2 linked regions of the Drosophila melanogaster genome follow. The protein of the gene in region 1 binds, or shares a complex with, the protein of each later gene. Each region holds a gene or a part of one and is shown in the gene's direction. Other genes may lie near its edges.

The links. Proteins that work in one complex are often made in the same cells at the same time.
Region 2: the proteins of Gyf (region 1) and me31B are in contact, whole or in part, in a crystal structure (PDB 6S8R), measured with the Drosophila melanogaster proteins. Residues at the interface, in NP_001162827.1 of Drosophila melanogaster: Glu344, Asn345, Pro347, Glu348, Trp349, Ala350, Ile351, Glu352, Pro354, Ser355, Lys356, Leu357, Gly358, Gly359, Ser360, Phe361, Asp362, Ala363, Ser364, Gly365, Ala366, Phe367, Gly369; in NP_523533.2 of Drosophila melanogaster: Tyr274 (codon at 3,809), Ala275 (codon at 3,812), Phe276 (codon at 3,815), Val277 (codon at 3,818), Glu279 (codon at 3,824), Arg280 (codon at 3,827), Gln281 (codon at 3,830), Lys282 (codon at 3,833), Val283 (codon at 3,836), His284 (codon at 3,839), Cys285 (codon at 3,842), Thr288 (codon at 3,851), Leu289 (codon at 3,854), Ser304 (codon at 3,899), Thr305 (codon at 3,902), Gln306 (codon at 3,905), Arg307 (codon at 3,908), Leu310 (codon at 3,917), Leu311 (codon at 3,920), Lys314 (codon at 3,929), Glu317 (codon at 3,938), Leu318 (codon at 3,941), Phe370 (codon at 4,097), Pro420 (codon at 4,312), Ile421 (codon at 4,315), Lys423 (codon at 4,321).

The regions. Positions count from the first base shown.
Region 1 is NC_004353.4:864,026-868,826, reverse strand, and holds the start of Gyf (gigyf), read left to right. Parts: upstream 1-1,801; 5' UTR 1,802-1,851; exon of another isoform or gene 1,852-1,857; intron 1,858-2,532; 5' UTR 2,533-2,560; coding exon 2,561-2,896; intron 2,897-2,954; coding exon 2,955-3,125; intron 3,126-3,184; coding exon 3,185-3,479; intron 3,480-4,415; coding exon 4,416-4,801.
Region 2 is NT_033779.5:10,237,615-10,242,672, forward strand, and holds me31B (maternal expression at 31B), read left to right. Parts: upstream 1-1,726; 5' UTR 1,727-1,921; coding exon 1,922-1,971; intron 1,972-2,324; exon of another isoform or gene 2,325-2,470; intron 2,471-2,877; coding exon 2,878-2,977; intron 2,978-3,065; coding exon 3,066-3,444; intron 3,445-3,518; coding exon 3,519-4,166; intron 4,167-4,231; coding exon 4,232-4,434; 3' UTR 4,435-4,558; downstream 4,559-5,058. Other genes in the region: mthl15 (methuselah-like 15), read right to left, coding at 1-231; chico, read right to left, coding at 5,023-5,058. UniProt on the Drosophila melanogaster protein: ATP-dependent RNA helicase which is a core component of a variety of ribonucleoprotein complexes (RNPs) that play critical roles in translational repression and mRNA decapping during embryogenesis, oogenesis, neurogenesis and neurotransmission.

The DNA.
Region 1 (4,801 bases):
CCATGTTATTGTTCAAATGTTTAAAAATGTTTAAAAATTCAAAATTCATGTTTATTTAAATATTTTTAACACCTACACCATATGCATATCATTCGATTTCTGGAGGCATACTAGTAATCTTATAATTCTAGTCCATGATCTAATATTATAGCACAATAAAGCTAAATTAAATAACTACTTCCATTCTTAATATATTTATCTTTTTTGTATCATGGCGACTTCAGCGTGCCGAACTTCACTATTTTCTTAACAAAATTAATAGTTCAGAAATTTAGCTTAAACCATAGAATTATATGGGGATTCAATCAACTCTAATCTGGATAACCGTCCCATTGTTACTTATGAGGTTCAAATTTAATATATATTTATTTGTCTTTATCTTGCACTTAATGGGAACCAACATCAGGCTTACATATTATGCACTCACCCTGTCGTTGTAACTGTGTTGAAGGCCTTTCCACGTTGGTTAACGACGTACTGTAGGAGATTATATGTATAAAGTTTAACTGCCTTAGAAGCCGTTTTCATCCTTGCCGAGATAACGAGAAGCCTCGCCTACTGCTCGCCATTCCTTCTCATACTCCTAACTTGGAGCAGGCTGAGATCCTGCTGTTGCAATGATATTTTTTCCCCCACACGCAGGAACGCTCAGAACGGGTGCAACTGACTTTAGGTCTCGTTACGAAGTCTGCGTTTTTGGTTTACATTTTGAAATGACCCTTACGCTAAATTAAAAGCATTATAAGCGATGCGTTAAGCGCCCGATCTGGGAACAGTGCCAAAATTTCAGATGTACTCACTGCCTCGAAACGTGGTAAAGATTAAGATCGCTCGAGCTTCGCTGTTATACGATTAAGGTATCCGAAAATCCTTCAGAACATGGGCATCAGCGTTATGGGCGTCATATCGTTTTCAGACAAATCACATGCACCATTGGCGATTTTCGTTTCCAATATCTGGGCGTTCATACGTACGAACAGACAGTTATACAAAAGACAAAAGGGGTGCGTATACATCGCAGCAAATTTTTGACACATACCCCTCACTTCATGACTTATGTAAAAAGACCAAAATAATCACAAACCAGGTATTCATTTTGGATCAAACCAGACAAACGTGGTTATGAAAACGGTTATGAAAATAATGTAACCATATTAAAATTTATATATATATATATAAATATATATATCCACTACTATATATATATATATATATATATATTTAAATATATACATTTGTATTTATATATTTATTCAAAATAAACTAATACATCGTTTACTTACACTTTACTATTTCTACTGTTATGTTATAATACTGAAAAACTTGAACTTGAAATGAAAATCGACTGCTTGTTAAATATAAAATTATTAACAATTCCGAAAGACTAAGTTTCAATACAAAGCTAACAACAAGGTAGGAATCTAGCTTTGGCAGTGATAATAATTAAATAATAATATTAAAGCAAGAATTCCCGTTACTCAACTTAAAGAAAAAAATCAACACATAGTTAGTGGTCGTGGAAACATCGTCTGCGTCTATATCTATAGAATCAGCATGCTTTAAGTTCTAGTTCTTATAGTTCCTGAAAGCGAGACGTTCTTACAGACAGACGGATTGGTTGATTTAAAGATTGACACTTATGCATTCTCTAAATCCCGGTGCTTGATGTTGCAATGTGAAGACAAGGGTGATGTATCTGTCAACTAGTAGTAGTGGAGCTAGTGTATAAGAAGCAAAAGTGGCAAGAATACCCCTGTGCTAAATTAAATTGGAAGCTTGACATATCGCAAGACGGCCACGCTGGCCTTGCTCTATCTTATGTTGGCGTTGGTATTTTAAGATATCTCGGTGGTACGTGTAAGTTGAATATTTTTACGAAATTCAATTTAAAAAATTTTTTTAGGATGTGCAGTTATAGTGGCTTGATTTTATTAAGATTACCAGAAGAATTAACTAAACAATCTTTAAAATAAAACACACCCGCCCAGTGTGATAAAGTCACACAAATCAAAAATTTGTACATACATCACTGTGTGTCTGTATGCGTCCAGATACTTACGAATTTTTTTTACCTTTTAGATCTATATTAGTTCTATTAGTTCTATATTTCAAACATGAAAGCTCGAATCAGACATTTCAATTCTATAAACATGTTAATTTTAATGTGTGATGAGGGTGCATGTGTATTTCGCGTTCGTGTGTGACAATCAGTTTGATATTTTAGGTTAGGTTTCTGTGTTGCTTTTATATTATATTATTTTACTTTTACTATCCATTCTGTAAAGCTCTGGTAAGTTTTTTTTTATCACTAGTTCTTAACTAAGCTTTAAAATAAATCCTTTGTTGTACTGTTTGCTTTGAAAAAGACTTGAAGCTGTTTGCTTTATTTATAGAACTTGAACTGTTTGAAAAATAAACAATTGTGCACAGAATCATAAAGCCATTAGGAGTTTAACAAAAACACTGAAAATTTGATTTCATTGCCTTTCTTACAAATAAATCAACCAAAAACTTTTTTGAACTTATTGTCAGCATAACATTAAACAAGAGGCAAATAAAAATGACAGATTCAATGAAATTTGGCCCGGAATGGTTGCGCAATATGTCAGCCGAGCCTTCGGGCTCTCCCAGTACCTACAACGTTGGTAATGCAGCTCAAAACAATTCGATTGGAGGGCACAACCTGGGAAACAACACGGCGGCATCCGCTTCCCGTAATCTATTTCCAGAATACCGGTACGGACGCGAGGAAATGCTGTCCTTGTTCGATCGGAACTGCCTACTGCCGCAGATCCTGCCATCGTTCAAAAAGCTCTTCGTGGAAAAGGTTCAGTGCCCTCTTGCACTGACACCGAGCTCCGAGGAGGACATCAACCAAAACTCACTTGGCAATAACGTATGTGAAGTAATTTGACATGAGTTTTAGAACATAATTTACTTTTCTTTGAAACTAGTCTCGTCCTGCCTGGTTGCAGCGCTCGCCCAGTGGATTTGGTAGTGCCTCCCGAGGCTCTGGACGTGGTGGAACCGTTGACCGGGGACGGATGCGCGGAAAATCGGCCTATCATCCGATATACCAACGCCCAAGCGGTCTATATGATGAAAGCTTATCGGTTATATCAAAGGTAATTGCAAATACGAACTAAATAAGGAAGTACGATTAGTTGTTGATTTTTTCTGCCAGGCCGAACGCACATGGAGCGACCGCAACGGAACTGGAGATTCTGCGGCAACCACCACCTCCACTAGTGGCTCTGGTGCTCTAGATTGGAATGGAACTCCAAGCTCAAGTCCTCGAAAAGATTATTCTAATAATCATCGCAACTTGGAAAACTGGCGACGAACACGTAACGAAGATGGATCCGGTGATGGTCCATCCTCCAGCGGTTCCATGAGCGGACCCGATATTGCTGGTTGGCGGAGCGGTGTCGTCGGTGGAAGTACAAACGCAGGTTTTGGTACCAATAGCCATCGGTGGGGTCAGTCAATTACCTTTATATTATTATTTTTCATTTTTACTCCTACACATATGAGCACAATAATACATGTACTGCTATCTCTATCATGTAAATTTGACTTTCCAAAACTTTCCCCAGCCTATATAGTTGGCTATTCATTCGATACCATTCATGCTACAATCTGTTGTAAAGTTTGTGTTTCTTTAAAACGTATTCTAAAAAACCTTTTCATAAATATATTAAAATTAAGATTAAATGTTTTAGTTAATGAAGTATTTTATATGAGAATATTTAAACAAAAATGCTAATAGACCAGCTGAAATCCCTATGGTAATTTCTATGCAATGCATCAGGCCTTGTTTTTATTTCATTCCTAAAGTACATCGCTGGTAGCTTTAGTACGTTTTCAAATAATGATCTTTTTTTTTCCAGAATAGACTTGATTTATCAAAATTGAAAAATAAAAAAACGCGAGCCCATTTTAAGTGTTATGTATCAAAGTCCAACTAACTAACAGTTCAAACTATTCAAATATGGGCTTGCCTATACATAACAACGTAACCAAATATACTTTTTACACTTTGATACGCTTTACGCTTTATTAAAATGTACTTCTTCACCCGGTAATCTTCTATCGAAGTTTGGATACTATAATAAATTGTATATATAATGTATTTATAAAATTTTTGTCGTGCTTAGTGATTAAGAGTTAGTGTTCTGCCGCTATGTGGATCAGGTGTACAATCACTGACATATTTGCTTTCCTACTTGTATATCTGAATATCGCTTGCATTTCTAGTATCTAACTAAATGGGTAACAGTTTTGCAATAGCTCGACTATAGCGGTTTTCTGTTTAGTAAGTTTGCTATATTTGCTAAGAAGATGAACCAAGTTAAAATTTAAATAGTCCAAGTTATTGAACAACAGTATAGAACTTAAAAAAAAATTTTTTTTAGGAAGATCTACAAGCTGGCGTGATGAAGATCCTAGCGTCGACAATGCAGCTAGTTTACAACGCTCAATTTCAACAGTTGCGACTTTAAGTACAGATCGGACTGGAAACAATAAAGGATCTGGAATCGGAGCTGCAGAGGGAGTAGGGAGCATATCGCACCCACGGTTGTCGAGTTCTAAAATATCTCAATTATGGACTGTTAATAATGCAGCCGGTGTTGATGCCGACGAAAATCTACCCGAATGGGCAATTGAAAATCCATCGAAATTGGGTGGCAGTTTTGATGCTAGTGGAGCCTTTCATGGAGATACTGATCTAAAACCTATCAAAAGTTCGCATAATACTTTAAAAACCAAAAGCTTAGACTCCTATGACGATGTAAAAAGA
Region 2 (5,058 bases), on another chromosome or scaffold:
AGCCTTTTCTAATCCAAGGCCCATTGGTGGTATCAATTTGCCTATCACTTGGGCAAGATCCGGAAGTTCACTGATGTTGCTTGCGGCGGAAGCGCACTGGTATATTTCCGCATTGTCCACAGTGCGGCGATATTTGAATAGTAACGAATTCGCGGCACAGCATAACTGAACGGCGAGCACTTTTGAAATGCCACTTAAAATCAGGCACACTAAACTTAGTCCGATGTTCATTGTTTACGGCTCGTCTATTATACCCAATGACCGATTTGCGAGCTTGTGTAATGTTTGTATCTTTTCTTAGAACGGACTTTTCATATCTTATCATTGAGGAATCGTTATCGGACCATATACACTTCGAACCGCATGCAGTTGCCGGATTTAACGAACTGAACTGAAGTCTTCGCGATTCCTTCGCGAGCAAATGCGAATGTTTATGGGTAAACATTTGGCCCGCACACAGACGGACATAGCTCGACGTATATAGGCAATACATTTATGGATTCTCGTAAGCCTATACAAATAAGTTATGCCCCATGGAGTGCCTAACACTTAGCATGCTGGGGGTGCTCACGGATGGTATCAATACACCCAAATGGCCGCATATTTATGTAGGTACTTTGTGGTTCTAACACATATCTATCTATCTACACAATTCAATTGATGACTTTGTACACTAGCTTCTGACGGCAAGACAAATGCGACTGCTCGTGTTAACATTGTGCAAAGCTCATTAAGGGGAAATTGATAAGGTACACAGATACACACATCCATACACACTTATGTACAGAGGTGGGTGAGGTAAGCAATGGATCCTTTAATCGTCTAAGTACTCTACGCACCATAAATCACCTGGAAAATGTCAACGATACGCAAGTATTTATCTTTTCAATTAACTTAAGTCTAGTTATTAGCTGACTTTTTTCCATATATTCTTTCATGACACAAACTAAAATCGCAAACATAAATGTCATTTTTATAATATACAAATCTCCTCTATCGCAAGTACTATTTATTTATTCTAATACAAATATATTAATTTTGTCATTCTCCAATCGGAATAAGTATAAATAAAGTATAAATCCATTGGTTAAGAAAAGAAAAATCAAAAAAATAATTTTTATTCATTTTAATGTTATTAGTTAGTTTCTAATGTGATCTTTCATTAAATATTTAATACTTATAAATTATAAATGAAAAGATATTCATAAAAATCGCAGACAATCAAATTAAAGCTTAACTCAGATGTTCTTCTTTCATACACGTTCGAAATCTTCCTGTCGTTCCTAAGTCCCGTTCACACAGGCAGCTGCTTCATCTGAAATGCAGTTCATATATTGTTTTTGTTATAATTAAACGGTGATTTTAACCCGGCCGGAGTGGAGTTGCTCATTGGAAATGCTTTTCTAAATTAATTTAAATTTAAAATAACGGCAACAGCAGCTAACACAACAAAAATGTGAAATATTTGGGTATACATATACACCTACAGGATTTATAAGAGGAAAATTTAAATGCCGATTTTTTTTAAATAAAATAATTCTTGCCTAAATATGTGGACTAATTTTAAAACGTTCATTTGTTTTTGTTAAGCCATGTATAAATTTCTACAATATTATTGTTCGTCATTTTGAACTTGCAAAATTTGTTTCATTCCAACGTTCCAAATCAGGGCAATACATATTTATTATCTACACCGAGTGAAAATATTTTCCGAGTCATCAGAAATTTGTATTATTGATAGCATGTTGTAAGGCGACTCGACTATTTTGAAGCTAAGTGAAATTTTATATTGAAACGCAAAGTTGAATACGTGAGCAGTATATGAAAATCGGTGAATACAGTGACTTCATTAGTCAGCCGAAAGCAAAAGAGAGCGAAATACATTTTTTAAACAAACTAAACTAAAATTTCACTGTGAATAATGATGACTGAAAAGTTAAATTCTGGGCACACTAATTTAACAAGCAAGGGGTTTGTATATTTTATATTTATTTATATTTTTTTTTTCACAAGAGGACCCAAGCTTGGTGTCCCAACAAACATAATATGCATGCGTATTCATCAGCCCATATTTATGATTAGATGCCGAAAAGACAAGCCGTTTTATAGTTTAGAACGTCAATTTTTGCAAATGATTGAGCATGTAAAAGCCGAAGATCTGTATTTTAGCAACATCATGTAGTTAGGCTGTTTTCACTCAACAACTAAACCTGCAGAACATGTTATCTAATGAAAAAAACCAAACAATGTGATTCCCGTATTTATATTACTTTATTGTATGTAGTAGCGGAACATGTGTACATATGTATAAAAGAGTTATCTACATATGTAGTTGCACTCGTGGACTTATTTACCGCTAAAAATGTTGCTAAATATAATTGCACTGACTTAAATCATTTAGAAACTAACACTGTATTTAGGTAAAACTTCTATTGGGTGATTCTCAACTTTTGAGATCAGAACAAAACAGGTATTTTTTTTTTGCATTTCAGCGCCATGAACAGTTATTCGTGGGCTGCCATTTTAAAATTTGGAGTAGCGTTTCTTTTTCTCTCCTCCATAAATGTGCGAAAGAGAAAAAATGTTGAGTTCAATCGCTTTTAGATTGTTCAGTTCTTAAATATTCAAGACATTATCCATCTTTGTTTACGATTTAAAATCAATATTAACATTATTATTAATATACATTAATACATGGCTTAGACTTTAGCTTAAAATGCACTTTACATAAAAGAACTCATTTACAAAATTTTAAAAATCAAAAATTTTTAATATATATATATGCTTATATATGCCATCCATATATATATGGATGTGAATGACCTACATATATCGTAATACTTTAATTACCATTTTATTTTTTTTCTTTTCATCCAGGATTATAAATGATCTTCAAATTGCTGGAAACACAAGTGACGATATGGGCTGGAAATCAAAGCTGAAGCTGCCGCCAAAGGACAACCGATTCAAAACAACTGTGAGTTTGCCGACAAATCAATCGGAATTTATACAATTTAAAGCACAAACAAACTAACAAATAAATGTATTGCCATTGCCTTACTCAGGATGTGACCGATACGCGAGGCAATGAATTCGAGGAGTTTTGCCTTAAAAGAGAACTGCTTATGGGTATATTCGAGAAGGGATGGGAGCGCCCTTCGCCAATTCAGGAAGCAGCTATTCCTATAGCATTAAGTGGAAAAGATGTGCTGGCTCGGGCCAAGAACGGCACAGGCAAGACAGGAGCCTACTGCATCCCAGTTTTAGAACAAATCGACCCAACCAAGGACTACATTCAGGCACTTGTGATGGTCCCCACCCGAGAGTTGGCGCTACAAACCTCACAGATATGTATTGAGCTGGCGAAACATCTTGATATCCGGGTAATGGTCACAACGGGAGGTACCATTCTAAAGGATGACATTCTTCGTATTTATCAAAAAGGTGGGTTTTGATGATAGTTAAATAACCTAATATCGGTTTAATTGCAACTTTCTAAATTTTCCCTACGCCTGCAGTACAATTAATTATTGCCACTCCCGGACGAATATTAGATCTGATGGATAAGAAAGTTGCCGATATGTCGCATTGCAGAATATTAGTTTTGGATGAGGCCGATAAGCTATTGTCGCTTGATTTTCAAGGCATGCTGGATCATGTTATACTAAAGTTACCAAAGGATCCACAGATCTTGCTATTTTCCGCAACATTTCCACTAACAGTCAAGAATTTCATGGAGAAGCATTTACGCGAGCCTTACGAGATCAACCTGATGGAGGAGCTAACACTGAAGGGTGTCACTCAGTACTATGCATTCGTACAGGAGCGCCAGAAAGTACACTGCTTGAATACGCTCTTTTCGAAGCTGCAGATCAATCAGTCTATCATATTCTGCAATTCCACGCAACGTGTCGAGCTATTGGCCAAAAAGATCACAGAGCTTGGATATTGCTGTTACTATATACACGCTAAGATGGCCCAGGCACACAGAAATCGAGTATTCCACGATTTCCGCCAAGGACTCTGTCGCAATCTGGTGTGCTCCGACCTGTTCACCCGTGGTATCGACGTGCAGGCCGTGAATGTAGTAATCAATTTCGATTTCCCACGAATGGCAGAGACATACTTGCATCGAATTGGTCGCTCAGGACGTTTCGGTCATTTGGGTGAGTTTAATTGCATTCTCATATTATAGTTTAGCCTATTTACAATCTTCGTTTCTCATTTTAAGGTATTGCTATTAATCTGATAACCTACGAGGATCGGTTTGATCTGCATCGGATTGAAAAAGAACTTGGAACCGAAATAAAGCCTATTCCGAAGGTCATAGACCCCGCCCTTTATGTCGCAAACGTTGGCGCATCCGTTGGCGATACTTGCAACAACAGTGATCTGAATAATTCTGCGAACGAGGAGGGCAACGTTAGCAAATAAAACGGATATGCCCTGTGTAACGCTAGTATCTGAAATAGAGTCTAAATCGTGGAATCAATAAAAACAGATGAACTATTTCAGAAATCAAAATTGTATTAAATAAATGGAAAGCAATTCAATTTTTAAATGCGCTCTTAAGATAACTGAAATGACTGGTCTATAAAAAAAAGGCTCGTTCACTTTGTGGGTTTTGGTGCTGAGAAGTATTAACATTAACTATTGGGGATTTGGTAAGGAAAGTTAGTCGAATGCTATTAAAAGGCAGGCTAAGGTCGTTTAATATCAATCCAGTTTTTAGTAAAGGGTTTAAATCAAATAAAAGGTCTAAAAGTAATTACAGGATTTTCGGACAAGAGAAGTACACTTGGATCAAGCTAAATCCTAGATTTACTTACATGGAAGAATTACCATTGGCAATTACCCGATTTACTAGATTCCAAAAAAAAAGTACAAAGGGATCATTATAATTTAAATAAAATTTATTTATTAGCATCCAAAATTGTAAGCTTTGCTTGTCAGAATATTTACAATAAATGTACAATATTAAACAAATCATATATATAGGATAGGGTCATAAATTTCAAAACTTTACGTATTAAATATGTTCGATGAGGAGGAAGAGGA